Linked DNA regions of Oreochromis niloticus. The protein of the gene in region 1 purifies or fractionates together with the protein of each later gene. This does not show direct contact. Links are inferred from orthologs where the notes say so. Each region holds a gene or a part of one and is shown in the gene's direction. Other genes may lie near its edges.

Evidence for each region.
Region 2: the proteins of cbx5 (region 1) and sentrin-specific protease 7 purify together in Homo sapiens (affinity purification with mass spectrometry; 3 studies listed by BioGRID and IntAct, with this or other methods). This does not show direct contact. The link is inferred for Oreochromis niloticus from reciprocal best matches to the Homo sapiens genes CBX5 and SENP7.
Region 3: the proteins of cbx5 (region 1) and chaf1b purify together in Homo sapiens (affinity purification with mass spectrometry; 8 studies listed by BioGRID and IntAct, with this or other methods). This does not show direct contact. The link is inferred for Oreochromis niloticus from reciprocal best matches to the Homo sapiens genes CBX5 and CHAF1B.
Region 4: the proteins of cbx5 (region 1) and adnpb purify together in Homo sapiens (affinity purification with mass spectrometry; 4 studies listed by BioGRID and IntAct, with this or other methods). This does not show direct contact. The link is inferred for Oreochromis niloticus from reciprocal best matches to the Homo sapiens genes CBX5 and ADNP.

What each region holds. Positions count from the first base shown.
Region 1 is NC_031984.2:19,129,793-19,136,851, forward strand, and holds the start of cbx5 (chromobox protein homolog 5), read left to right. Parts: upstream 1-4,040; 5' UTR 4,041-4,162; intron 4,163-4,703; 5' UTR 4,704-4,749; coding exon 4,750-4,880; intron 4,881-5,232; coding exon 5,233-5,458; intron 5,459-5,676; coding exon 5,677-5,777; intron 5,778-6,407; coding exon 6,408-6,549; 3' UTR 6,550-7,059. Other genes in the region: hnrnpa1b (heterogeneous nuclear ribonucleoprotein A1), read right to left, coding at 1,204-1,256, 1,340-1,471, 1,555-1,671, 1,762-1,815, 1,894-2,046, 2,138-2,348, 2,433-2,579, 2,692-2,808 and 1 more. UniProt on the Homo sapiens protein: Component of heterochromatin that recognizes and binds histone H3 tails methylated at 'Lys-9' (H3K9me), leading to epigenetic repression. In contrast, it is excluded from chromatin when 'Tyr-41' of histone H3 is phosphorylated (H3Y41ph).
Region 2 is NC_031987.2:22,406,294-22,413,932, reverse strand, and holds the start of sentrin-specific protease 7, read left to right. Parts: upstream 1-4,633; 5' UTR 4,634-4,668; coding exon 4,669-4,772; exon of another isoform or gene 4,773-4,829; intron 4,830-4,848; exon of another isoform or gene 4,849-4,867; intron 4,868-7,639. UniProt on the Homo sapiens protein: Protease that acts as a positive regulator of the cGAS-STING pathway by catalyzing desumoylation of CGAS. Desumoylation of CGAS promotes DNA-binding activity of CGAS, subsequent oligomerization and activation.
Region 3 is NC_031987.2:18,700,929-18,707,849, forward strand, and holds the start of chaf1b (chromatin assembly factor 1 subunit B), read left to right. Parts: upstream 1-3,913; 5' UTR 3,914-4,043; intron 4,044-4,405; 5' UTR 4,406-4,435; coding exon 4,436-4,561; intron 4,562-6,915; coding exon 6,916-6,921. Other genes in the region: morc3a (MORC family CW-type zinc finger protein 3a), read left to right, coding at 1-524, 1,217-1,407, 1,514-1,685. UniProt on the Homo sapiens protein: Acts as a component of the histone chaperone complex chromatin assembly factor 1 (CAF-1), which assembles histone octamers onto DNA during replication and repair.
Region 4 is NC_031984.2:31,725,118-31,733,072, forward strand, and holds the start of adnpb (activity-dependent neuroprotector homeobox b), read left to right. Parts: upstream 1-4,942; 5' UTR 4,943-4,963; intron 4,964-5,127; exon of another isoform or gene 5,128-5,634; intron 5,635-7,955. Other genes in the region: dpm1 (dolichol-phosphate mannosyltransferase subunit 1), read left to right, coding at 2,592-2,696.

The sequences.
Region 1 (7,059 bases):
AAACAAGTAATGATTTTTACCTGTCAAAAACCATTGTCACAGAAATGAAGCCAGGTTTTGGGGTCCATGTAGTTACCTACAAAGGAGAAATACTATAAATAAAACAATAACCCAAAAATATAAAATATTTGCTCATTTCATAGCATGCAGTATGTTGGGCCTCAATGCACAATTGGAGGCCAAATTAAGTCAAAAAGTAGAATGGTCATAAAACTTAATTATTACTGGGCTACATATCTCACTACCAGCTACATGACAAAATGCAAGATATACCATCAGTAGTTGAGAAGTCTGGTCTTACCTACAAACAGCACTTAAGCCTTTTGGTAGCTGCTGCCTGCTAGACTCAGGCCTCTGTTCTCACTCTCCCCTGCTTCAATGATCCTGGCGATGGTTTTGCTACTTCTCTCCCTCAGCTTGCTTCCATGGCTAGCCTCATAGACTTTGCATGTAAGCTAGCATTCTCCAGGTGATCTTTGCAGAAATCAGGGCAGAGCTTGTACCAAAGTGATGGGCTTTCTGATGATGGCATTTGCGCACCATTTCTTTGCCCGCCCCTTAACCAGTATTGCATATGCGCTGACCTGAGGCAGCATGTAGGAGACACGGATATTGACTTTCCCCGGCCACCTTGTGATGTATATGGCTCGACCCATTTTCACCTAATAGTAAACCCTCCCTTTCCCAAAACCACTGAAAAGGCTAACGAGACTGTTAAAAAAACTGAAAGGTGTTTATTTCAGCTTGATTTGATGCAGTTACAAATAAAAACCAGACTTAAAGATCTACACAAAACCTCATTGGAATGCTTGCTTTCCATTAACACAATTGACGAAAAAAAAGAGAAAAACATAACACAAAATGTTTAAATGAAGGCCCTCCATGATTTATCTACTGTACATCTCTTCTTGCAGCAGCTGTAACCTGCCACAACTCATAGGCTGAGCAGATTTAGGAGGTAAACCTGCAGTTGCCCTGTCACTTCGCTTGCTCTCCTCTCCTTGCTCTCCTCTCCTAAGTACTCAGTCCTGTTGAACAATACGGAACAACATTGTTAACTGTGCACTGACTTTGTGACCTGACATCCAGAGTGAATTTGTTTAAAGGTTATCTGCACTCAATGATTCCCTGCTCACCACAAGCTGTTGTTTTACATTAAAAGACTCTTAAGGCATGCTCTCAAGCTCTTACCACTTTCTCATTTTAAAATCGTCCTGGACGTCCATAGCCACTGTTGTTTGAGCCTCCGTATCCACCTGGAAGCAAAAAACAAAGTATAAACCTACACGAGGCCAGCGTACAATAAACGCATTTACTTGTGAAGTCTGGGAACTCATACCAAAGTTCCTGCCGCCGCCGCCGCCACCAAAGTTGCCCTTCATGGGGCCAAAGTTAGAGGCCTGGGGGTCGTAGTGGCCCATGTTGTTGTAGTTATTGCCGCCACCGCCGCCTCCACCACCACCACAATTGCCTGCGATTACAGAGTTTATAACATTGGTCAACCTCGAGCAAGTTCTAGTTCTAGTAAAAGGCAGTGAAATGGCATTATCTTACCATAACCATTGCTGTCATAACCATTTCCTCCATATCCACCACCCTGGTTGTAGCCCTGGTTGTAACCACGGTTACCTCCATTATAGCCACCAGGACCACCAGGTCCGCCTCCATAGCCTAAATATATAAGACAGCCTTAAAATATACTGTAGAGTTTAAAAAAAAAAAAGCAAAGAAAATAGGAAGACACAACAAAACCATGCTCACCACCATCACTTCCGTTGCAATTGTAAGGACCATCTCCATATCGCCCTCTGCCACCTAAATAGGATAAACACAAGGTTTGCTATCACATAGTATAACAATCAATCACTCCACCATCAACAAAATAAGCCATACCTTGATTGAAGCCCCTGTCGTAATCGTAGGGCCTGCCACCAGTGTTGCGACCTCCTCTCATTCCCATACCCATTCCCGCACTCTGCATTTCCTGCTTTGTGAGGGCCTTCCTCACCTCACAGTTGTGAGAGTTGATAGTGTGGTATTTCTGGACTGTGGAAAGCGATTTTTTGTAAACAAGCTAGCCAACAATCAAAATTCTGACAAAACATGCAGCTAGGGAAAAGTCAACTTCTGTACTTACTGACAATCCTATCAACTGAATCGTGGTCATCAAACGTAACAAAGGCAAAGCCCCTCTTCTTCCCAGTGTTGCGGTCAGTCATGATATCAATGACTTCTATTTTGCCAAACTGCTGGAAATAATCCCTCAGGTGTGACTCCTCTGTATCTTCTTTGATGCCTCCAACAAAGATCTTTTTCACAGTTATGTGGGCTCCTGGCCGGTTTGAGTCCTGGAATCAAAGATATTTGTTATTGTAATCACTATGCGCCTTTTGAATGCAAGAACAATTGCACCTCATCCAGTTGTTACACACCTCCCTGGAAACCGCTCGTTTCGGCTCTACCACTCTTCCATCGACCTTATGGGGACGGGCTGACATGGCAGCATCAACTTCCTGCACTGATGAATATGTTACAAAGCCAAAACCCCTGGATCGCTTGCTGTTGGGGTCCCTCATGACCTGAAAGAAGAGTGCTTTTGGATCAGCTCATACACAGGGTACCAACATGCTCTACATTCTTGCAAAATCGTGACTGCTCAAACAAGACTACATCCTTAATGAAACGACTTACCACGCAGTCTGTAAGGGTCCCCCATTGCTCAAAATGAGCACGCAGGCTTTCGTCTGTCGTCTCGAAGCTCAAGCCTCCGATGAACAGCTTGCGGAGCTGCTCCGGCTCACGTGGGACCTATACAACAGAAAGCAATGCGATAACATCTGATTAGCTGCTCCAATGTCGGCTTTAATGTAATACCACAATCACTTTAAATCGGGTAGTAATTAACGCTGTTCACCGTGTACATACATCCTTCCCTGCGCCCCTTATTAAAATTCAGGGCGTGTGGAGGAGGGACACACCGCCGCCATTAACGTTAGCAAAACCGCTGGAAGACCAGCGAATAGGTCAAGTTTTAGAAGTAGTTATAGATCAGAGTCGGTCGTGATTTAAATGCCTGTAGCATTTAAGCGCAATTTTCCATCGTAAATGTTGATTTAAAGTCCTAAATTTCCACTGCAGCTCATCTGCAAGAACAAAAGGCCACGAGGCCTGGCTGCTATAAAATGGCGGCGTTACAATGCAGGAAAGCTACTGCAGCTACGACCCAAACCGGAGACTGTACTAAGAATAAAAAGCATGCAGCAACTTCATATCCTACCTTCCCTAACATAAAACAACGTATACAATAACAGATAAGTACTCCCGAGCCCAGTACTCACACTCTCTCTCGACATGTTGCAGCTTTAGTCTTGAAGACGTGTTGTGTAACAAGCGAAGAGCCGAGATCTGCGTCAGACGAGTGTAGCCTGCTAGTCAACAGTACAATAAATAGCAACGGTAACGCCCCTGTCGCACAGCAATTGGACAGCTATTCCCGCTGCAGTTTGTCGTCCGCAGTGATTCGATCTTGATTGGGCTATGTAGAATCAATCATTACCAGCGTCCAATCACCTGGTGTACAATGACGACAATGAAAAAATGGATTATGGTTGTTGTATGTGAAAGGGAAAACTTCAAGAAGGTATCGTGTCTATCGTGTATAACGCCTTTAAGTCAGTAAGCATACAGTCTGCACAGCTCGGTAAGTTATTTTCCTGGAAAACACAAGGAAGACGGGCATTTTCTTCAGATTAAACATCATACGAACCGTAAATGATTCTGTTTTCGATTTGTGGGCGGAAGCACAGCTGCCTTGTACAGCAATAGCCCTACCTCCCACATTAACATACACACCTTATCAAAGAAAAAATATTTTCTATACAGAGTGTGCACGTATTAATACAAAAAATATTCCAAATTGTTACAGAATAAACTTAAAAACATGGTAGAAGCACATTCAACCACTTTATCTGTTGATCATCAGCTGACCGAGGGGCGGGGTCAGTTATTGTGCGCTTTTAACGCGCGCTTTTTTTTTTTGCGCACAGCACCTTTTGTGTGTGTGTGAGGCTAGCTGTTAAAGTAGCTGAAAGGTTGGCCTCGCTGCTCGTCCACAAAGACAGGGTTTGACGGGTACAGATCGACGGTTGGAACCTCCAGAAGAGTAAGACACTATTCTTGCAATGTCGAGTTTCATGGTGCTGTAGATATGGGCGCATGGTTTGATAGCATAGTTGTTTAGCTCGATTTAGCGGTTGCTTGCAGGCTACCTGCTGTAGCAAGTTTTCCTTTGCTTTGCTGCTAGCACCGTTCAGCTAGTAGCCGTCGTCCTTGCTACTTGCACGTTTTAGTAGTAACAGTGACCGACTTTTCACCGTTTTAACGAGTAGATGGCGATCAGGATGTTTAGCTGCACTGTTTAGTTGGCCTTTTTAACGTTCCATGTTGCAATTAAACAAGCGATGACGATATTATGCCTCTCGCTGAAATATGATAGCCATCTTGCTAGCGGCGGCTAATTAGCTAATGTTAAAGTGTTACCGATCTGTAACTTGTGGATGCTTTGCGATTGTGATGTGGCTGTGTAGCCATTATTATTATTATTATTATTTTTAAAATGATGCGTTTTTATTAACTAGAACTAGTGGGAGAGCGATCAAAACTCAAATATCTTTAACGTGAGCTTCTCCGTTCTTTCTAAACAGGGAAGTGTCACCTGCAACCGCGTTGTGTTAAGCACCAAACTTTACCATGGGCAAAAAGTCTCGCGGAGAAGAGTCTTCATCCTCTGATGAGGAAGAATATGTTGTGGAAAAAGTGCTGGACAGGAGGGTGGTGAAAGGAAGGGTTGAATTCTTCCTAAAGTGGAAGGGATACTCGGAGTAAGTAATTAAATAAATGTACTCACCACGGTCCTAAGCTCCATAGTCAAAACTCTTTTGCATCTTTATTAAAATTAAATGTTGTAAACAGTTGGTCACATTTTGGAGTAGGTTATTGGAGATTTCTAAAACCTAACACTCGGGTACAAGATGCACCCAGTGCACAACAGAACAGCTCTCTTAGACACAGATGCTCTGCCATCTAAAGGACAGTAATGACCACGGAAGTACCATTAGATTACAATGTTTTAAACATTGCAAGATCTCAAATTTTTTAGCATATCTTGCAGTTTCCAATCCGAACTGGTGCATTAAGGCTGCACTGAGTTTTCTACTCTGTGCTCTTTCTCAGCAAGCACAACACATGGGAACCAGAGAAAAACTTGGATTGCCCTGAGCTTATTGCAGAATTCATGAAGACCTACAAGAAAAGCAGTGGTGGGACCTCCACACCAAGCAGTGGGGCCAGCAAATCAAACACGGCGTCCTCTGGACGCGCCAAAGATTCCAGCAGCTCAAAGAAGAGGAGCTCTGACGATGACGAGGAAGGTGGAAGTAAGCCCAAGAAGAAAAAAGAGGTAAGAACTATTTTTTGCTGCAGAAGCAGGATGTCTATATCTTGAAATGTGCCGCATTTAGCTTCCTTTTCTTTTACTTGACATTTAGGTAGCACAACGCATTTATATCTAAAGTGTGTGGAAACTGAAACTGTTTACATTTAAAGACAGCTGGTGTAAATTCAAGAGTTTAATACAAAATCCAGATTTCTAAAGTAATTTTGTTTGGGGTCTTTCAGGATGACATTCTTGTCGCACGCGGTTTTGAGAGAGGACTTGAGCCGGAGAAGATCATTGGAGCAACAGACTCATGTGGAGACCTCATGTTTCTTATGAAGTGGTAGGTTCTGAAAGTCTTGATTTAATTTTGCCTTTAGTTTTTGTGTGAAATCGATCAATAAATGCATCTAATGGTAGAAATCTTCTTACATGCACAACCATACAGATGACCTTTTGCCCCAGATTCAGGCAGTTCTTCTACTATATGCAGCTGTACTGACATAATTCTTTTTAAAGGACAGCTCTTACACTCTGATATTTCTATTTGTAAATTGCCTTTAGCAGCATTTATAGCTTAGCTGGCCTATGTTTAACCACACCATAAAGCTTTATGTAATTGCATATTATCTTGAGGGATTAAATGTAGTACATTGTTGCTCATGCTTGGTTGAGCCCCATTTAAGGGTTAATATCAGATAATAGTTGTAGTAATGTTTAATTTATCACAGAAACCTGCACAGTCCATTTTTTTTTTTTTTAAATTGTTTTAAGTTATAATTTTAATAATAACTTGCAGCAGATTAAATTTAAATGCACTCCATGTAATTACTGTAATGTGTGAAATCTTTTGCTACATTTTAACAAGTTGGACCAAATTTGCATGCTGCAAGTGTTATGAAAATGGAGATATTATATCTTGGTTGTGCAAAGACACAAACCCAAGCGGTGATTTTAAACTTTCTCTTTTCAGGAAAGACTCTGATGAGGCTGATCTCGTTCTCGCCAAGGAGGCCAATCATAAGTGCCCACAGATTGTCATAGCCTTCTATGAGGAACGTCTCACCTGGCATGAAGACAGTGACAAGAAGGAGAAGGATGCTGTCAGTGCGTGAGTGTATCGCCTCAGGAGAAAACGGGACCTCTTCACTGCAGGGACAACCTTGAGTCAGACATTTTTCACATCCTAAACTCCCAACCTTCAATTTTTACCATGTCCAGCAATGACACACACAAATTTTGGACACTGTGTTATCTCCATCCAAGCCTCATTGGAGCACACGGGCCCAGACTACTAAAAAGGATCCATCATTCAGGAGGAGAAGCTGTAGATGACATGGGTGATATGCTACTGGGGAGAGTTTATACTATTCTGTCTTTGTATTCTTTACCTTCTTTTAAAATAAAAAAAAATAAATATTTTAACACATTCTTTTAGTGCTTACAGGATACGATTATGTTAGTGTTGAAAATCAGAGTTGGTACAGGCTGTGTTAACACCGAGTGTGTTCCATTGTGGGTTCACAACTTTTAATTTGCTATAAACGGTGTACCTCTTCTTTTTAAGAACCCAGCTGACACCACAAGGATGAAATGGTTTTTTTATTGTTTTAAGTCAGGAAGCA
Region 2 (7,639 bases), on another chromosome or scaffold:
TTTAGTGGTTCAGGCTTCTCTTCTCATCTTAGCTGGAAAGAGAGCGGGGCAGGGGTTGAGAGAAAAAGCCTCGACTGCATCACTGAGCCCAGGATCTGATGAAGGCGTCTTAGAAGCAGCAGGGCCGGGGACGTCATCAGAGACAGCCGTGCAGAAATGTGGCTCCTGATGTTAAAGACTACGCTGGACACTAGGACCATGGACAAGTCAACGGAAATAAATAATCTGTGATTTATTTCATTTCATTTTTTTTGGAGTACTCATTCATTTTATACACTAAACAATTTATGTGAGAAGATCTACATTGTTATTTTTTTTTTTTTACACAAAAGCAAACATCAAACAAACAAGAAACATTATTCCAGCACTGTCCATGTTGTACCCAGTGGTCAAATTTCTTTTACTGGAGACATTTTGACTTGCCACACCATGAAGTACTGGCGTAGCTAATAAAAAATATCACTATAATAACATTAACCAAAATCTGTTAAAAAAAAAAAGGAATGGATATTTTATCAAGTGTGAGTGGTAGGTCAACATGTTCTCTGTAAGTAAAATCTAAGTTTTATCTGCTGCAGTGTTTGAAGGCCGGCTCACCAACCTCTTTCCAGGGGCTGAGCTGGCCTGATGTTTCTGCTGTTACATCAATAAATTATAAAAATGCTCTTGTGGTCATATTTTCTTTTATAAGGAATAAGAGTGTACCAGTAAACATGCATTCACAATAATTGTGAAAAATGAAAATATCTATGTTAAAAATGAAATCTTCAATTATTTTATTTTTAGTAATAAATGAGTGAGTGACTGTTCTTTCACTGAGTTAGAGAGTTCAGGATGAATCTGACGAATGGCATTGTTTTTTTTTAATTTTTAATTTTTTACAGCTTTCAGAAACAATTTTGCTCTGTGATTTTTACATTTTTGAAAATATATTTATTTTTTATTTCAATTATTGCTCAAGGCTGTGGCTGAAGCAAAAACTCAGGTGTGGGAGGAGCTTGGAGAGGTTTTCGGACTGTCTCCAAGAGTTTCTGGCAAAACTGTCAGGCAACTCAGGAGGGGAAGCAGTGCTCTACCTGCACTGTGTATAGTGCAGGTAGAGCACTGCTGACTTCGACTGAGGATATTTTCAGGTTGTGGAAGAGATATTTAGAGGATCACCTTAATCCCAGGGCCGCATCTTCCGTGGAGGAAGTAGAGTCTGAGGATGAGGGGGATGACTTATCCATCAAGTCCATTGCTATGGGCCATTCGATCCTTATACAACTGCTGCAAGAGTTTGGACCACATAGCCGGTAATAAGTGGGACTCTGCCAGGGCTACCCTTTGTCACCGATTCTGTTCATAATTTTTATAGACAGAATTTCTAGGCATAGCCAAGTGGCGGAAGACTTCCACTTGGGTAGTCTTAGAATCTCATCTCTTCTTTTCGCAGATGATGTGGTTCTGTTGGATTCATCAGGTGATGGCCTCCAGCTTGCACTGGAGCGGTTCGCAAGTGTGAAGCGGCAGGAATGAGAATCAGCCCCTCCAAGTCGGAGGCCGTAATCCTTAGCTGGAAAAAGGTGGAGTGCCCACTACAGTTTTGGGGCGAGTAACTGTTCCAAGTGGAGGAGGTTAAGTATTTTGTGGTCTTGTTCGCGAGTGAGGGAAGCGGGAGATTCACAGACCGTTTGCTGCTATGGCTGCAGTGTTGTGGACGCTATACTGGTCCATTGTGGTGAAGAGAGAGTTCACCATAAAAGCGATGCACTTAATTTTCCGGTGGATCTACATCCCTACCCTCACCTAGCACTAGATTGCAGATACAAGCAGCGTAAATGAGCTTTCTCCAAATGTTGGTTGGGCTCTCCCTTAGAGATAGGGTGAGGAGTTGGGCCATTCAGGAGGGGCTCAGAGTAGAGCCTCTACTCCTTCACATCGAAAGGAGCCACTTGAATTGGTTCTGACAGGGATGCCACCTGGGCGCCTCATGCCTGAGGTGTTCTGGGTATGTCCTACTGGGAGGAGGCCCTGGGGCAGACCCAGGACACACCGGAGAAATTATATCTCTCGGCTGGCCTGGGAATGGCTTGGTGTTCCCCCCGGATAAGTGAAAGAAAGTGAATGGATGAATGGAATAATGATGAAGTGAAAATCTGAGTTTAACCCCTAATTTTTTTTTTTTCGTGCTGGAGCTTTTGACTTTTCCAGCTGGAAAAGCACAGGATAGAAATGGCAGCATTATTAGCTCCATTCAGGGAACACTAGTGTCCCATGACAGCCATGTTGATGAGAAAGCATGAGTGACTTATTGTTGAGTGAGTTGTTAATAACTACATCATGGATTTTTCTGCTCTTGCACCTCTGCTGTTTGTGCAGATTTATACAGAGAGATTTTGTAAAAAATCTTTTTGTGGAAAAAAATTTGATAGATAGGTAGATAATTAAGTTCAAGCACCACATGTGCTGAAACTGTTGTAAAACTTACAGCTGTATTATTGCTGGTCTAACATTGGTATGTTTATTGCCCCTTATAGATGCAGTGTAACAAAAAAAGACTGTAAAAGTGGATGGTATTATATGTTTTTACGTATATGAATTTTGGGTCCTGTGGGTGCTGGAGTAGCAGACCAATTAAACTATAAGTTAGTTATTGTTCTGCTGGGATACTTTGCATCTTGAAATTCGTCTCCATGTTTCCATATTTCCAATTGGAAGAAGAGCCCAAGGCAACAGCCATCAGTTTTCCCAGACCCAAATCCAATAAAATCAATTGCAAGATTTGCTGAAATGAGACTAATCTACCGGCAACATCACATGAGTTGAGAGTATGAGTACGAGATGAGTATTTTGCTGGGGATCTACACAACTGTTGGCAGTTTTGGTTGTTTTAATTTCTTTATTGACACCTACCAGCCACCTTGATAGGTATTCTGTGCTAGTACCAAGTTGGACCTCCTTTTTCCTTCAGAGCACAGATTCAACATTTTTTGGTCCATTTGATGTGATAGCATAACATAGTTGTTGCACATTTGCTGGCTGAATATTCATGATGGGAATTTTTCTATTCCACCACATCCCAAAGGTCCTCTGTTAGATTACGATCTCATGACTCTGAGGCCATTTGAGTACAGTGAACTCACTGTCAAGCCAGTAAACCAGTTTCAGATGATTTGAACTTTGTGACTCTGGTGTTTTATCAGAAGATTCATTGTACACACCGGAGTCATGGTCAGAACACGGTCAGCAACAATACTCAACAATAAACAATATTCAGTTAGCACCAAGGAGGGAATTGTAAAACCAGGCAATGTTTTCCAGTCACCCTTTGTCAAACTTTGTGGATCTCATGGAAATTGTTTCCTCTGTTGCCTTTTTTTTTAGCTGACAGGAATTGCACCCAATGTGGTCTTTTGCTGATGTAGAAGACCACACCTACTGTACACCCAAGTCTTTGCATTGGCAAAGAATGTTTTTTTTCTTATTTCTCATGTTTACCAGTGCGTTACTGCAACAGTTTTCAGTTGTTTTTTGTTCGTTAGTTGTCTTCACCATGGGAAATGCACCTCAACTGAGTTGAAATTGACTGTCTGCCTCTAAAACACCATAATGTTGTACTTCAATACTTTCAAAAAATTTCTAGTTTTTCTTTGTTCCAGATGCTGTTGACTTAGCCACTGCTAATGTCCTAATATTCCTAAAGTTAAATAAATGTGATGGATCTGTTTTGGCTTTCATCTTATTGACTGACTGTTTAACTTGCACTTAATGTGCACACATTGTGGATTCACATAAACAACTAACAGATGTAAATACTACACTTGGAATCAACTCTAGACCTTTTAGAAGACAGTAAAACTTTATTGTCATTGCACAGATGTACCTGCTTATTTTATGAAAAAATAATGAAATGATCATACATCTGTCATAACGCTTGAGTGAATTGTAGAATAACATATGACAATAGGAGCTACTCATAAAAAGATAAATGTAAATGCAATTCTTCAACTGTTTTAATTTTTTTTTTTTTAATTTCAAAACTAGATTTATCCTTTAAATACTAGACAATAGCTGCCAAGTTTCCCTTTAATTGATGAGCATGATGTAGCGTTTATTGTGTTATTGTAACTGTGGTATGCTACATCTCATAACTAATGGTGAGTTGTAGGGGATGGGTAAAAAAGAGAGAAAGACTTCATAATAATAGTAACTGAAATTTGTATAGTGTCTTTTAAGGAACCTAAGTTTTGACCACATTTCTACTAAAATAGAGGACGGGAAATCAAGTCTAGTATTTAACAGGAAAGAGAAAACAGCGAACAAAGTAAAAAGTAAATCGTAAATGCCTTGTAATCTTAATACAGTTTGTGATAAAAAAAAATCTTAAAATGTTATTATTATTATTATTATTGTTATTGTTATTGTTATTGTTATTATTAGCTTAATATATCCCCTTTAAAACATATGTATTTGTTTGACTAGTAAATTATTTTTATAATTATTGGTCATTAAATCATGACACAATTTGTTTACATTTAAATGCGAATTCATTATTAATCCTAAAACAAAGCTAGTACTTGCAGCTTTTGCTGTACATCTAGTTATGAATTAATTACAGGCAGTCTCAGCCCGGCGCTGCTCTTCACGCTCTTGTTTTACTCTGGATGCACTTCCGGGTTTCACCGGATGTTCCTAAGGAATATTGCAGCGCCCGTTGAGTACACTATCGGACTGTGGAAAATGTGTGCTTTCTGTGACTGTAAGGTGCAGATGTACACGTCCGTGGGAAAGTAGGTTTCCAGTTTCCTGATACTGTGCGTTGCACTTGCGAGCGGCTGTGGCCTGGGGTAAGCTTTAGCTTTCCTGCGTGTTTCTAGCATCATGGGTAAGCCATAGCATAACGTTGCTAGCTGTAGCCGAGAGCTAATCAGATGTCAACTTTCTGTTGTGTTCAGGCAGAGAAAATAAACATAAATAAACACGAGGTCTGCACGGTGACCTCCGAGGTTACAATGTGCTGTGTTACAACCATAATAAAGGTTGGTTGTTTGGATTGGGAGCAGCATGTGCGCTATCTGTGCATCACAAACATCAGCTTCAGTGACAAAAGAAAGCTGGAGTGTTGCTTTCTGAACTGGCAGTGTCGGTCGCTTATGGTTAGCTGCAAGTCGGTACTGTTACAGTCACAACACTGAGTTTTATATATATTTCTGAGTTTGCATTTCATCATTTAGCCTTATGAGAGTCCACACAGAAACTGATTTATAATTCATTTAACTTGATAAGATCTGTCGATGGTGGCTGATGCAAAATAGGAAATGCATGTGAGTTTAAACATGTAGGAAGTACATTTTCTTTTGATCATGTTTGGCAGCAATTGGTCTGCCAAGTGCTTTTTTTTCTTTTACAGCAACATTTAATGTAGTTTCCTTTTGGAGAGTGTTTATTTACTGAATAATACTTTTTCCAGGGTTTGAAGTCACTTAACATACTGTCATCATGGTACACTGGCCAGGATAACAACGTGGGCAATGTATCTGCAATATTCTGCAGTCTGACACACTCTGAGAGGCATTTACGTCAGATGCATAATGATATATGCCTATTGACCACTTTTTTAGGTACACCCGTTCACTAAAAACAAATACATCTAATCACATGGCATCAACTTGAGGCATTTCCTCATGTAGATCTGGTCAAGAGGACCTGTTCAAACTTAGCATTAGAATGAGGAACAAAGGTGCAGCAGAAGACCACAGCGGAGTGGCAGTTAAGAACAGGAAACTGAGGCTACATTGTGCACAGGCTCACCAGAATCGGCTAATCTTCTATTGTCCGATTCTGGTTTGGTTTCTGCTGCAACATTTTGTTAGTAGTATTATAATTTAAGGTAAACAACATGAAAGAATGTGGTGGAAGTGTAATAGTGTGGGGGATATTTTCTTACACACTTAAGGCCCTTTAGTACCAACTGAGCACCGTTTAAACATCACAACCTACCTGAGAATTGCTCGCCACGTCCATCCCTTTATGACCAGAGTGTAGGGCTGCCACGATTAGTCGACTAGTCACGATTACGTCGACTATTAAAATCGTCGACGACTAATTTAATAGTCGACGCGTCGTTTGAAGCTTTGTAAGATCCCAAAAGACGCAGGAATAAGTAGTAGTATTTAAGAGTGTAATAACGGACTGAAACAGAAGATGGCAGCACTGCATGTACAAGGATGTCAGCTGCCGTTAAACCCCGAAGAAGAAGAATGTGTCCCAGAATTCATAGCTCGGCCCAGCGCAGTTGTCAACAATAGCGGCAGCTAGTTAGTTTTAATATTACTCTTATTATTCTTTCTGGGTCACAAAATAAACGTTTAACATATTTTCAGGTGAGAATGTAGCTGTGTAAACCTCAAATATCTGCTCAGTCTATCAAGACACCACATATTTTCAAAAGCGCTCCGACGTTTTCGGAGACGTCTGTTACCCACCAGCTCCATAGCGAGCCGGGGTTCAAGGCTCATTAGAGCCGGTGAGAACACCGGACTCCCGGCAAATCGTTTTCAAACTCACCGCTGTCTTTCGCCACTCAGGTTAAACATGTAATATAAGTCACTTAGATAACTTAAAAATGTTATTGTTTGGCTTTTTTTTCTAGTATTTTATTTGTTCCTGAGTAAATTGGTTTGGCTGAGAAATAAAGTTGTAGTTTTTGCACAGATGAATAAACGTCAAGCAGATAACTGATTATCAGAAGTGTGAGATGCTCGAGAATATACTCCGGTGTCCTGTTATATTTTAGATAGCAAGGAGCAGACGGCTGAGTTTATTAAACTTCACTGAAACAATCTGCAAATTTCATTAAAAGTGTAATAAACTATCATCTTGTCTTTATTTTTAGTTAGCACATACCTTAAACACTTCAAGCTGTAAGCTAATGATAGTTATATAAGAGCAGACACATGCTGGTGCAATAAGCTGTACATTTTACGTCCAGTGGATGGATGATCTGATTAGTCGACTAATCGCAAAAATAATTGGTGACTAGTCGACTATCAAAATAATCGTTTGTGGCAGCCCTACCAGAGTGTAAACATCATCTCAGGTTTGGTTCTAGCAGGGTAGCGCACCATGTCACACAGGTCAAATCATCTCCAGCTGGTTTCTTGAACTTGACAATGAGTTTACCAGATCTCAGTTGATAGACCACCTGTGGGATGTGGATGCGAAGTTATTAAATTTGCAGCAACTGTGTGATGCTTTTATGTCAATGTGGACCAAAATCTCTGAGGAATATTTCCAGCAACTTGTTGAATCTATGCCATGGAGAATTAATACAGTTCTGAAGTGGGGGTCCAACCTGATAGTAACAAAGTGTATCTAATAAAGTGGCCGGTGAATGTATGTATAACACAATTAAAAAAAAAAAAAAAGAAAGCTTATTGTGGTAATATTCTGGTGTTATTATTCACTTTTAATAATGTTTGAGTGTTTAGCTGAATGTGTGGTTTGCCATGTTCCCCCTCATTTTTCTTTTCTTTTTTTAACCACAAGCTGATTAACTGCTGTTTATTTAACCATGTGTGCTCAACCACAACAAGTCATGAAGTACTGATGTTTTTGCCTGAGCAAATCAAAACACACAGTGTTATGTCACATTTCA
Region 3 (6,921 bases), on another chromosome or scaffold:
AGCAGACCTTGCAGAATGGAGTGAACCATGATCTAGAAAGGGAAGGAAGTCCTAGACCTTCCTGTTCAACTATCGGTGACAACAGATATAGTCCACTTACCTACCCCAATATCTCTGAGGTACAGCAACAACAAGACCAGCTTCTTGAGCTCATGCAGGAGACCGCTCAGGAGAGAGACTCTTTAAAAGAACAGGTCCAGAAACTTACCTCACAAGTGAAAGACCTGGAGAAAAAACTGAAGGAGATGGCGCCGGTCAGCGTAAAGAAGGAGTGTTGTCACCAAGCCAGCCAGACAGAAGAAACAGGAGGGCAGAAGGACTACAAAAGTCTGTTCGAAAAGGCCAAACAGAAAGTCAGTGAATTGATTAAAGACAAGGAGGCTTTAATAGCAGAATCTGATACCAAGGCCAATCTGAGTGGCGATAAAAGTGTGGAAAATGATGATGAGATTGCGCTGCAAGTTGACGCTCTAGTCCGGAAACTGGATCAAAGAACGAAGGAGACAGAAGAGCTGCGCTCACGGGTCAGTGACACTGTGTAGAGCTGTCTTTGTTTAAAAAAAATAATAGTAAAAGTGATGACAAACAGCTTTTCTCACATTCAGTTGAACTAATTTGAGCCTTAAACGCCCTGAACTAAACAAGCTTTTGACCTCTGCCTAGCTTATGTTTCTGGTAGCGCTGACGTAGGAACGTGCATGTCACTCCGTCTGTAAACACAAAAAGTTGGAAATGGTCATGTCAAATTTGACCTCTGTAGAGGTCAAATAGATTGATCTGAAGGTCAACATGATAAATGATGGTATACAGAGCTGTTACAACCATGTTTCTTACTGCCATTGTTTGTATTGACAACATACTGTTTAGGTAACATACTTTTCCCTTAAAAGTAAATACTCCTCAGACAGTGAGCTGCCCTGGGGGAGGTTTGCACTTTCTGAGTGCTTCTTGTTAATGCTTTTTTATTTATTTATTTATTTATCTATGTTACATCTGGCAGCAGCTGGCCGATGTTGTCATGTGCCTTAATTGGTGTTCTGATAAAAGCACATGCTATGAGGTATACCTTATATCTACTTCTCAATCCAACTGTATAAGGAAAAATATCCCAAATAGCCCACTGTTATGCACTTTTTTAATATATTTCTCCTTTCGTTTTATTGATATTGACCTTCGTACCTTCCCTCTTCCTCTCCCTCTAATTCTGCACCACCAGCTGGACCTTGTGGAGGAGGACAAGGCAAACCTGGCAGCCCAGTGCGAAGAGCTCCAGTTAAGCTTAGAGCACCAAAGGGAAAAAGCACAAAGTCTTCCAACAACCAGTGAATCTTCAATTCAGACACATCCAGAGGAGGAAGGAGGGGCAGCTGTTTCTGGCACACATTCAAACTCGGATGCATCCAGAAGGTTGGACTGCTGGGAGATCACTCCTCGTGGTTTTGATGTACCCCTCTTTGATAAAGCAATTTGTGAAAGCAGCCTCACTGTTTCTCTCCTTTCTGTTTCCCCTTAGTTTGGTAGAGCTTCGGCAGAACGTCGGGCGCCTTCTTCTCCTCCACGTGCCTGCGCTGGACCTGGCACAAGTGAATTTCGAGTGCAGTGTAATTGATGAGATCCTAGACCAGTTTCTCTCTAATAATAATTCTGACACCCCTGTGTTAATGTTTGGGGCAACAAATGACTAAACAAAAGTCATCACATCGCTCCACCTGTAAATGTTTTGTAAGGAGACCCGTGAGTGGGATATTAACTTAATTTAAGGTGTGTTACAGATGCTTACAAATTTTTATTTTTAGGTTACTCAAACTAGCTTTTTGTTTTTTTTAAGAAACAGAAAGCAAAAGCAGCTGTAGATATTAATTGCTACCAAGTTTCTCAGTAAAATCAAGGAAGTACCAGTTTGTCAGTAGTGTTGCCAGCTATTAATACTTTTGTGTTTGATTTTTCTCTTGTTTTTGTTTTAAATAATATGTTGCACATTTTGTATTATCATGTCTTACCAAATATATTTTTATATTGCCTATTTATATTTGTTGATTACTGCTCTGCGGTGAGGTGTGGTTTGTGGCTTAGCTGCAGGAGAGGGGTGGCCGGCACAGCTGAGGTCCATTACGGTAACCATGACTTCAGTAGCTGTCCGGTCCTGGAAGAGCGGTGGAAGGTTTGGAGAGGAGAGGAAAGCGCACAGCCACACAGGTGTATATTTGTGTGTGTAGGAGCAAAATAAAAATGAGTTTGCCAAAACAACCTGCAAAGGCATCAAGTCCTTATGTCACAAGCTCTATGAGACTTTGGTAGTCTTCTCAAAATCACAACACAAGTCTGCCACAGAAGTCCGTCATCACAAACTTGGGCACGTTGATATTAAATAGAGCGGACATTTGTCATCGCAGCAAGCGTTTCATTATAGTAATGAGGTGTGTGATGTGGGACACAAGGAGCAAGGTCTTCAGACTTGGTTGATTGTTTCAAACTCAAATGTTTTGGCAGCGTAGGTGGCAATCAAGGCATTAACCGTAGGTACCCTGGTTTTACATTTCACTTTTGGGCAATAATTCAAGTTTCACTTTGGTAAAGAGCTCAGTCTGACCAGTGGCAGCAGCATGAACTTCCAGGTCTGAATATACTGATGAATTAAACGGGATCATTTTGTTTTAAAAACATCTGCTTTGTATTTCAAAATATTTTTTGAAGCGACTCTCAGGTGATAAAATAACCAGTGTGGGAGTCGCATTTCCATTTTCCATGACATTTTACAGAAAAAAATGAAAAGCATCAACCACACGGTTTTACATGTTGTACTTTAACCTGCACATCACAGGCTTGAAAAGAATGCTTTTTTCTAAAATGTACTCGATTTTCAACTTTAAGACTCGTGATTTAACTAAAATCCTCATTGCAAAACTGTTAGCTGTTTTATTTTCTTTAAGTTAACTTGACTTAAATGTTTCACAGTTGCAGTGGACTGCTGATAACTGATATTTAAAAATTAAATATTCTGTCAATAACAACCACAGTTATAAAATTATGTTCTACCTATTTTTTAATAAATAATTCTAAATAATGGTCTAATTGCTACCGTTTTTTCCATTGTCATCATGATTTTTACTATGATAATTATGATGTGAAAATCTGATATCATGACTGCCCTTTTTCTTTGAACATTGTCTGTTTTTCTAGTACTTGTACCTGACTATTTTCAAAGGAATTTTTATTAAGCCACTTACAGACCTTTGAATCATTCAAGGCTAATAAAAAATTGACCTTTTTTTTTTTTAAACCAAATTCAACCAGTGTTGTGTCTACACATAATGGAAAACTTAGCAAGGAAACAATTGTAGATTTTATCTTCAGTCAGTTTATTACCAGCACCCTGTCACAAAAACATTTGTTCAGTTAAATCTTTGAAACATCCCAATGATAACAGTTTGGCAGCCATAAAATAGTATTTTTATGAACAAACTTGTCATATTTCAGCATGCTGTGCATTGTGTCCCTAAACCACTTTAAGAAACTGGCCAAGTGAAGATAAAAACAAAAAGTGAGGCCTAAAAACACCGAGTGTTTACAATTACCTGTAAAACACTGTGGAGACTGTAATGGTTTGGGGCTGCATTTCGGTAAGTGGTACTGGAGATTGACAAGATCAATACTGATGGAATTATGAACAGAGACGACTACCATTAGATTTTCATACAACATGCAATATGTAGAAACCATTTGCTTTGCAACGGCTTCGTTTTTCATAATGGCAATGGTTCCACATTCACTGTCAAATCAGTAAAAGCATACCTGGGTAGAAAAGACACACAATGCCATCCTGTCAGTAATTGATTATACCCCCCCTTTGTGAATTATATTTTGTATTTCAATGGGGATGGCCAAAGATCTTTCCGGATTACGTTAGGAAAAAAACCAAAAAGTCAAGACTATCAATTGTCCCCGCCCTATCCGTGTTTTTGTCCAATCACGGCAGACCGGAAGTTTTGAGAGTCTGGTACGCGGGAACTTACCAATTCTGACTGAGCTGGACAACAGAGAAGGTAAATACTGTCATGTACTTCTAGTTATCTTCGTTCAGAGTAATAAACATTTGTAATTCGTCTGCGTTTATAACGGGCATGCTTCTTAGCTAACAGTAGCTTAACTACAAATGTTCGTGAATGGGAATGATGTCCACAGTGTTTAGCCGTAAACCAGTCCAACTAACCTGCCAGTTTAACTGCTAACCTGTTAGCCAGCTGTGCTCTATATGTTAGTGTAGCCAAAAGAGCGGCTTTATCAAACTGTTATCTGTAATCCGTATTTCAGGGTCCATTGTTGTACGTTTTGCTAACTAATGCGTCCATATGAGTTGATTGAAAACGATCTAGGTGGTGAATTTACCGTGTTTTTATCCCTTGAGGTCGGTGCCGAATATAAAAATTGAAAAGAAATGAAGGTGGTAACGCGTGAGATAGCATGGCACAACAAGGAGCCAGTGTACAGTCTGGACTTTCAGCACAGCTCAGATGGACGCATTCATCGACTGGCCACAGCTGGAGTGGACACCACAGTCAGGGTGAGTGGAGACAGCGGTCAGAACATCTGGTCTAACTCCGTAAGAGGTCGACGATTTTTATTTTGTTTTGTTTTTAATTAAATAAAATGTGAAATAAAGAAAAAAAAACAGTGATTTAGTCTATAAATGCAGCAGGAAGAAATGAGTCTCACGGATATAGAAGACGCAGGTATTTGTACCCATCAGTTGTTCTTTCTTCATTAATTGGTCATAAAAACATTTACCTTAAGAATAAGGACACTGAACCAGAGATAATATGGAGAAAAAAAATATTTTGTTAACTTTCTGAACAGTCCCAGTGCAGGTAGACAGAGTACAGTTTGGGCTTTTAAGATAAGATAAGATAAGATGATCTTTATTAGTCCCGCGCGTGGGAAATTTGTTTTGTGATTCCTTCTGACTTTTCTTTTTCCAGGGTGAAATGATTGTACAGCGTATATCTTTAATGACTTAAAAAAAAATAAGAATTTAGTACACAAGTATGAATTTATTCTGGATTTTCTCTAATCCAAACGTGGTCAAAATTAAACGTGGAGGTTCAAATATATACATACACTATATACACCCTTATTAATAAACAGCAAGTTGCACCTGAACAAGATGTTTTTTGTAGCCATTAACAAGCTTCCAGTATCACTCTGGCTGGATATTTCATCATTCTTCTTGGCAGAGTTCATTTAAATTGGTAGGCTTCCTGGTATAGACCTTGCTTTTAAACATAGTCCATACACTTCGATAAGCATTGAGGTCTGGGCTTTGGGATGGCCATTCCAAAAGTTTAATGCTAGCTTTCTAAAACCAGTTATAGATGTGTGTTAGGTGTTCCAACAGAAGAATGATACCAAACTGTTTTACTGCTGATTTGAGGTGAAGTTGAATAATTTGGTGGTAATTGTCCTATAAGATTCCATCTGTTAGGTAGGAGGTTCAAAGGTAAGGTAAAGTTTATCACCATGAGTTTCATCTGATCAGAATGCAAAGAAAACAGCCAAATCATTGATGTCCCTTATGTCTTGGTTTATTTCACTTTAATTAATGTTAACTTAACTTAAAGTAAGAAACACATGGACTGCTAAACTCTAAAAGAGAAAACAAGGTTGGACCTTACATCATTAACTTGAACATAAATGTTTAAACTCAGAAGAACAAATCAAACTCATCTCAGCTGCCGCCCTATGTGGGAGTGAAAAGAGTGAGTGAAAGGGAGTGCAGTCCTTATATAATGTATGCCAGGTGAGTTTAGTTAAGGCACAAAGAAAATCAAGAACCAATCAGTGTTGAGAAAGTCAAGAGTGGAACCGAGGTAATTGTGGTCATGTGAGGGAGAGTGAGGAAAAGAGTAAACAGAATAAGAATCTTTTAGTACACTTTGTGCAATCTACCAGTGCCACTTACAAAACAGCCCCAGAGCATGATGCTGCCACCACCGTGCTTAAAGTTAGTACAGTGTTCTTGGGTTTAAAAGCCTCACCACTACTCCTCCAAACAAACCTCTTTTCATTGTGACCAAAAAGCTCAATCTTTGTCTCGTCTGACCATAAAATTCTTCTCCAGAAGGCCCTCGTTCACGTGGGCATTTCAGTCAAACTTAAAGGTGTCAGTTTTGGAGCATCTTTCTTAGTCAGAATCCTACAATCTACATCTACAATTCTCCTTCTTAGATCTTCACAGAGTTTCTTGGATTTTGAATGACCAGAGTGTATGTACACTTCTGGCCACAACTGTACATTTAAACAAGTGTTTCACTGTGCATTTGTCAGGGTGATTATTGACCTTTTGTCTCTTACAGAGACTTTTTCAGGCCCGCTTTAGCCTTTAGAGAATGCCTCTTTTAAGACCCATGGGATACTGGTTAACACAACAAGTCAAAGATCCTTAGTTTGAGATCCGGAGGAGGCACGAATCCCTGGGAGGGTTGCATCAGGAAAGGCATCCTGTATAACACTCTTTGCCAAATCAGATAAGGAGAACTGCTCACTGTGGTGGCCCCTTGTGACTAACGGAGCAGTCAAAAGTAGTCCTGTTTTTGGTTTTTGGTTTTTCCTTCTCAGACACTGGTGACAGTCTCTAAATCATGATGCACCACCAAGCAATGCAGTGTTTTCATGTTTGCGTACAGCAAGGTTTTAAATTATCGAGGCACGTGACATCCTTAAAGGGATGATTCACCCACAGGATCCACCTAATAGCAGTTATTTAAGTATTAAGATTTTTAATACATTTACCCTTTTTTATAACCTTTATCCTACTAAAATTAATCTGTGGATGGATTATTGTTTGTGAAGTGTTGTATGTTGCACAGCCAATTTACAGAGAATTTTTAATGATCTCTTTTCCTAATGATGTTTTTGCAGCTGTGG
Region 4 (7,955 bases), about 13 Mb from region 1:
AATAATTTTTTTTTTTTTTAAATGTGTTTAATTTTCAGGTAGTTCAGTGTGAGAAAAATCATTCGTGTGTCATTCGTTCTCTTCATTTTTTTAGTTGAGGATTAAAATCGAGGAAAAAAGAAAATGTGTTATTTTTGTCATTCATCTCTTTTGAGTGCTTTTTTTCCTCTTGATTTTATGCTAATTGAAAAATGAAAAAGCAGGCCAAGAAAACCATTTGATTCTCATATTTAATCAGTCTGATTTGTGTGAGCAGGAAGCTGCTGACTTGTTTTTAAAAAAGGGGTAATAAGTATCTAATTTTTTTTTAATGCTTTACAGTTTTTGGCTTGCTATTAGGAGCTTTCAAACTGCATTCTGCTTCATTACAGCACTTTTAGGAGTGAAGAACTCCCAGAAAAAGCTTTAACACATTTAAAACCAGTTTTTAGAGCAATTTCACAGCTTTGTTTGTGTCCAGACCACATAGCTTCAAAACCAATATGCGTATATGGGTCATATACACACAGAAATAGATTTCATAGAATGTTTGCGACTTTAATATAGGATAAAGGAGCAATTTCCCCCCCAAAAAATCTGCATTAAATATCCTATTAGAGCAGGTGTAGCTTAAAAGCCAAACACTTGCTAGAAGGTATACAGCGACATTTGCGGGTTAGCCAGATGACAGTCTCTCTTTTTCTCTGGCTAGATGACTGTGGTACTCCTGCTGAACATGCTGGAAGCACCGTGTTCTCACTTATTTGTGTTACTTGTATGCTTTAAGTGTGATAGAAAGCCTCTTTATTTATTTTATTTTATTTTATATGTGCTTTTGTTGTTAATTACTTTTGGCTATTTATTATTTCCCAAGGGATTTCCACAGTGGATAGAAGTGCATGCACAGAGTTCTACAGCAGAGGGGCGTACTATGAAACAAGTTCAACACAGCCAGTTTTCATTGTGTTAACTAGTGTGGGGAAAAAAAAATCTAAAACTGCTTTCAGCACGCTCACATAAAACGAGGTGTTTGACACATCATGTGACTCTTCTGCTTACAAAGATCCCTTTGAATAACATCTACTCCAGTGAGAGACATTATTAGACGATGATGATAAATTGGTAATTTAAAATCTATAAAGAACATAAAACAGTGAACTGCAGCACTGTTGCAGATAATTAATGCTGTAGAAGTCATTAATCTTGGGATTTAGTGCACAGAGCAGTAAAATAAACATTTTAATTTAAGGGAATTATTTTAATGATGAGTGAGCCTTCGGTGCTGCTGTTTACTTCTGTTTTCTTGTAGCTGCAATTCTAGTGTAAAATAGTTAGCAGTAGATCAGAATCAAATATAAAAACATTTAACTCCAGATTAATACATGCATTAATTCATTCCCATGACATGCACACATGAAATGTGTTCTATATCCATAATAACTACCTCCATTGTCACAAAGAGCCACTGCAGCTTGTAGCGCCGCACGTTGTGATTCGGCAGTTTTATTTCCTAACACAACGAGAGAGGGATTTGAGTCTTTTGTTCAACCTTTCACCTGTTGAACAAATGTGTTAACCGCTACACTGTGAAGCCACCCAAGCACAGGATCTATATTGCACTTAAAACATGCCGTAAATAATAGAATCTGTGAAAACTTCCGGCAGTTTTAAACCGAAACCCTGAACGCAACCCGCTCCCAAGCAGGTTGTGTGTTTAGCATAAGTTACCATGGTGATTTAGCCAGGTAAAAAGAGATCCACTTCCGCCACACAGAAACCTCAGGCTTTAAGCTCCAGATAGCTCGCTAAGCACTTGATTTATGCCTCGTATTACACCCCTCAGGAGTGCAGTAACTTGTACACTCCTTGAGGTTGACTTTGTGCCTCCTTCTGGTATCAAACCCATGATGTCTACACCATGGAGCCACTTCCTGTAGTTTAGGTTAAGTTAAATATTATCTCAGTGTTCATGTAATTTCTTTTCTGAAAGCTTCATTGTTATTTCAGTTAAGATCTTTTTTTTTTTTTAAATACTTTTAGTTCAGTTTCAGCCATCCATATTTACCAATTTGACACAGTTTCACATTTGTGAAGTTATTATTTTGTTATATTAAACATGTAAAACGGGTCTGGTCAAACCCACCTACAGACAGTTTTCTAGATATGAATAAAGTCTACTTTTAAACTAAAGGAAGTATTCAGTGTATACTTAAATCTGAAGTGCCACATTTAAAAAGTAGACTGCTAATTGGTGTATTTGAGGCTGTCTGAGCTCTTTCCATGGACTTTAGGCTACTAGATCCTTAATTGTAAATGGCAAACAAAAGAGAAGAGTCTTCTTCAGACATGTTCACACTACTGCAAATACTCTGATTCAGCTGCCTGGATAGACCTGGCAGGAAATGGCGCACAGGAGGGTCATTTTCTTGTGGTGTTTGAACAGAACCTGCAGCATAATGTTTTCTGGTTTTATTTTTAAAAAAATCCAGTAAATGACCCTTTTACTGTTACCTTTGATTTTTATTTATGACATTAAAATCATGTTAACTCTTCTCATAACTAGTAAATCATGGATTTCTGCATGTAAAACAAATCTGTGGTTCTTCCAACAGGTACCCATTTCCTTTGTGGACCGGGTTTATGGAGAGTCCAAACTGGGAGGGAATGAGATTGTATCGTACGCCAAGGGACTGCTCATGCTTTTTGCCACAACATGATCAGTGATTTACTCAGTTTGTAAAACCCACAGGCCTATAGTCTTCCTCTTACTGTGTTTAATACGGTTCTATCAGAATTGTAATGAGGAGGGGAAAAAAACTCCACTTGCCTGTGGTCAGACAGCAGCACGACAGCAAATACCAAGGGAGACATCTCTCCCTGTTAGGTGTAAATATAAAAGAAGTCCCTGTCAGTAGACCTTCAAGAATACAAAAGAAACATAGTGCTTTACATTCCCATCATCCTCTTTAATCAGTTTCTGGCAAAGCGTCTCGTCATTCCCGGCCCAGACAGCTGACTGAACTCTGCATTAACAAGCTGTCACATGACTTAAAGTGCACACTGAAGTGCTCCACCTATGATTGATTGTATAGGATTAAACTGTTTTTTATCACTGGCCTTGAGATTTTTTTTCCCTTGGGGATGCAGGCAGCTTCTCTTACTGATTTTCTTTAAGGAGTTTAAAGCCTGAATTAAACATGATTAGTTATTGATATTTTGGACTCAGAACGTTGACCTCCAAGGTCTTTCAGTAAATTGGCTTTTTCCTGATGATTGTTGTAGTAGTGACTCCATACAGCCCTTATGGAAGTTTAACTCTGTCATTCTCAACAAATAAATATTTTTCTTCCCGTTTCTTCATTGCATATTTGAAAGAAAAAAAAAAAAAGTCAATAGATAAAGTTCCATTTATAGATTCTTTACTGGTTTTCAGATTCCTGTAAAATGCATTTGATCACAACACCATTAACCTTTTGGAATCCACTGTTATCACGGGAGTCTGCTGACAAGTCTGCGTGTATTAGCAGAATGCTACCATAAGGACAAAATCAGCTTCAGTGTAAGAAAAAGTCAAGGACATAAGTGTTGTTTCATTATGGAGTATGTCGCCAGTGCCCTCTGCAGGGCCCCCGCTGAATTGCGACCAATTCCTGAACAACGGAGTTAACGGGAGGTGGAGTAATTGCATCCAAACTTTAAGTTCTGGACTCTGGACCACCCTACAGTAACTGACCGTGTTCTGTTCAGAGGGTTAGGCTGATGTATAACTTGTGAGGAGTTAATCAAAGATGGTGTTTGGCCACTGAGTAACTTTTCCCCTTATGTTATTTAAATTTCAAGTAAAGGAATAATTCTGTGTTTTATTATTTTGGATTGATTTCTTTGTTTTACAAGCATAACACTCATCATCCATATTTCCGTATACAATTGTTCCTGTTAAAGAGGGGAAAAAACCTTTACCAAGTCTCTTCTAAAGTGTAGGCTTTTTTTATTAGTTAAAAACTTTGCTTGGGTTTCACACGCATAAAATCGATAACTGTGTACACTGATCACAACTCTGTGAGTGGTTCAATACTGACGATCGCACATGGGGCTTTATCTTGAATCCGATATATTAAGAGAAGTAATTCTGGACCTCACTGACGTCTGAACCCCAGCTCTAATACGACTTATTTAAACTGAAAACAGAAGCCAGATGTTGTGGCTCACCAGAGGCTTACCCAGAAATATGGTAAGTAATAAGGTAATATGGTAAGGTTCATTACTGGCCTTCAAACAGGAGTTTGGGGCATTCAATATATCATAGTTCTCCCCACTACGCTGTTACATACTACTCCTGAGGCTTTAATGGTCAAGCCTCTACAGCTCTGATATGCTACATGGTATAAATGTGCTTTAACTGGAAAACCACCTTAAAATATTGCCTCTGCCCCTTGAAAACTAGCCCATAATGAACAACCCATTTCACAGCCTCAGCCAGTCAGGAGACTGAACATCAACACTTGACATTAAATATCACATGCAAGGCTGGCAAACAGCTGCTGTATTGCATAGCCCTTCACAGCAAACCTGAATACAATAGAGTGGCAGGAGTGTGAGTGACAGCGATGATGGGGTGAAAAGGAAGGATGGGCAAAAATCCACCCGACCTGATGGAGAACTTTTCTCTCACTTTAACCATGTGAATGCAGTGACACTCTGGACTGAGTGCTGATAACAGAACTATTCTTTGGGGCAGCCCTTCTCCTGGCACTGTACAGGAAAGTAGTCCCGGCCACTTCGGTAGGCTCGGGCAGCTATAGTACAGCGCCACCTAACGTTGCCTCAATCGTTCATGGCACTCCAGCTGAGTGCTGAGGCACTGTGTTCATCCGTCCCTCCACAAGGGAGGGGATGGGGTGGGGGTGGGGGACGCCAGATGTAGCCAGAACGCGCGTGCGCACTACTCCGGTGGAAACCTACTCCGGTAGGACGCCCGCTATCGGTGAGTTTCCGCAAATACTGTGTTGGGTTGTTTACCCCACAGAGTCAGACACCGACACCAAAATCCTGCCGCAGGGTCTGATAGACGACACGGGTTTTCCTTTGAACAGACATTTGCTTAATTGGTTAAATTGATTGACAGACCAATCAAGAGTTTCTAATGAGCCGGCCTCGCGAGGTTCTCACAATTTATGCTAATCAAGTCGATGTCACTTCCGCCCCTTTTATTTGCGCCATTTTGGATAGGGCAGTTTCTAGGCTGGATGTGTATTGTCTGTCAGAGAAGAGAATGGGCAAAGCGTTATCGGCTAACAGGCACTCGTAGGTAGAGTTAAATGCGATTTATTTGAACGAGGAGCTGCGCCGGTAGTTGTTCCTCAAAAACAAGACATGTGCCCACCCTCACCACTCCAGGGAATGGAGCTTTTAATTGTCTAATGAAGCTGCAAGGCTTTTCGCTCCCGTTGGCCGACCGGAGGGAAGAGGATAGCCCTTCTCGGCGAGGGACAGTCGGGTTTGGAGGATAGACTCGCGTTCGGGCGACTAGTTCTTCTGCCGAAGCAAGCTGTCACCTTAAAGGATATTGGCGGAGATATCCGAGCAAGTCAAAGTGTCTCAGCCATCCTGAGGTGACACATTTCACTGAGACGGGAGCGCTGGATGTGAACGCAGGTAAACTTGTCTCTCTTAATGTTCGGCGTTACCCTGAGGCAGAGAGAGTTTGCTGTTAGCCGTAGCTACCTGTGCTGATGCGGTGGGTGGCGATGAACTACAGCTAAGGTAACTTGGCTGTCGATGTTCTGTTACTCCCTGTAAGGGGCGCAAGCTCAAGTTGAATTACTTGTCCAGTAGGTAGGTTTGTTTATAGCAGCCAACAAAAACTAAATGCAGACAGGTGTTGTTTGTGTTTAAATAAGGGCACAAAAGGCGGAACTATTATTATTATTATTTCAGCCAGTGTTGTTAGTGCGAGTTTGGCTAGCCTAGCATGCTAACTTAGCGCGGTGTGTCCCCATTCTTTGTCAGTGACAGCATCTCCCTGCCAAATCTATCGATTTGGATTTTGCCAGATGTTTATGACTGACACCAGCGTGGACCCAGGGCACGATTTATTTGTCTCCGTCGCTCATGCCGCCGGGCTTGCTGGTCTTTCATGCGAAGAAGGCTCCTGGTGTCGAAAGTGTAGCTGTATTACTGGACACAGTGTTGTCTTCGACCCGGTATAGGTTGTGCATTTTACATGTCTACAGCCGTACCTGAGATCATGCAGGTTTGTATTTGAAGCCTCAGAGCTCTGATCTTCTGCATTTGAAGATCAGAGGTCAGCCAGGTGAGAAGAGGGTTGTGATGCACTAGTAACGCTGAGAGGATGGCTGTCACTTGACTGGGACAAGAGTCAGGTTATGATCAGGAAATATCAGCCTCATATACATCTGTAATAGCAAGTGCTGCAGGCAAGCATCAAGTTCAGTGATACAACTGTGCATTGAAAGCTTGAAAGCATCTCAAACTTTTTCTGGTGTCAGAGTGGACATGGATGTCACCAGAAGCTTCTGCCTTCATCCCTACATTGAATGTAGAAGTGTAAACAGCAGCTGGGAGACAGGTTTTTGTGTCCTGGTGATGGACTGAGTGAGGAATTCTGTGGTTGAAGGTTTGAAGGCTTAAAGGCCTCATGTTTTCTTTTTTTACACCACCATGATTGGGGAGGGGGGGGGCTTTTTCTTCTCCCTGATCTGAGAAGAGCAGAGAGCTGCCTCCTACTGCCTTTCCTTCCTTTCCTCTTCCTTCTCTCCCTCCCTTCCCTCCTACTCAGCCTCTCCTGTTTCTTTTTTCCTCTTGCTCCTTTTCTTACCCCCCTTCACTCCTATCCATTGCCCACTCTCTCACCCTCTTCCATTTTCTCTCTCCCCCTTCAGCCTCTTCCCCGCCTTTCCTCACCCTCCCCTCTGAGCCTGTCTGTCCAACCTCCCTGCCTCCCCATCCCTTCCCCCCCTCCATTTCCGTCGCTCACTCTGTCCTCTCTGCTTTCCTCTCATCTCTCTCCTCACACTCCTTCTACCCTCACTCACTCCCCCACCCTCCCTCTCACTCTCCCTCCTCCTTCTCCCTGCTCCCTCACCCACCACCACCTCATCCTCTCACACTCGCCCTCCCCTTCCCTGATTTCTCTCTCTCGCTCCTTCTGTCCCTCCCCTTCCTCCCTTCCTACCCCCCCCCCCCCCCCCCACTCCCCTTCTCCCACTGCAGACATATTGTAGAGGCTGCTGCTGACTCAATAGGAGGCGCCATTCTGTGATGGTATTGCGAGGCAGGGAGGAGAAAAAAGGGGGCAGGCAGAATATAGGGAGGCTTACATAATGTCCTCTCTAGCGCCATCTACAAGTAATGGGCGGAAGAAGGATAGAGACACAGAGGGGAAGTGGGCAGGGGTGTGTGACGCTTGCACTCCCTTTTGCTCAGTTCCCGCTGTAAGACCAATGTGAGGCAAGTAGAACAGTGGGGCGGCTGGGCGGACTGACAGAAAGGTCTCCTCACTGGACCAACAGATGGTAGAATCCACAGCCCCACTCAACTTGCGTTTTCTAGAAGGGGAAATAAGCTGAGGTGTTCACAGGAATTGTTTGGGAATGTACTGTTTATTGTTGCTGAGCTGCCTTCATGCCATTGTACATCGGTGACCTTTGACCTCAGTAGTTTGGAGCTTTGATTTGAATAGATGCACCAGACTGTTTGGTAAATACATTAACAACACTTGTGTCCTCTGTCTGACTCACTTTATTGATAAGTGATATTGATGATAACGGCTGGGAGGATCTGTGTGTTTCTGTCTTTGCGTTAGCAATGACACTTCTAATTCGTTAAGCTCTGGCTTGCCTGGTGGAAGCTGTATCCTGGCATCCATGTGCATTCTTGTGCAAATGAATGAGATAAAGCAGAAACCCTGTTATGAAAAATACCACAACTCGATGTCATAAGCTCTGCAGGGTAAC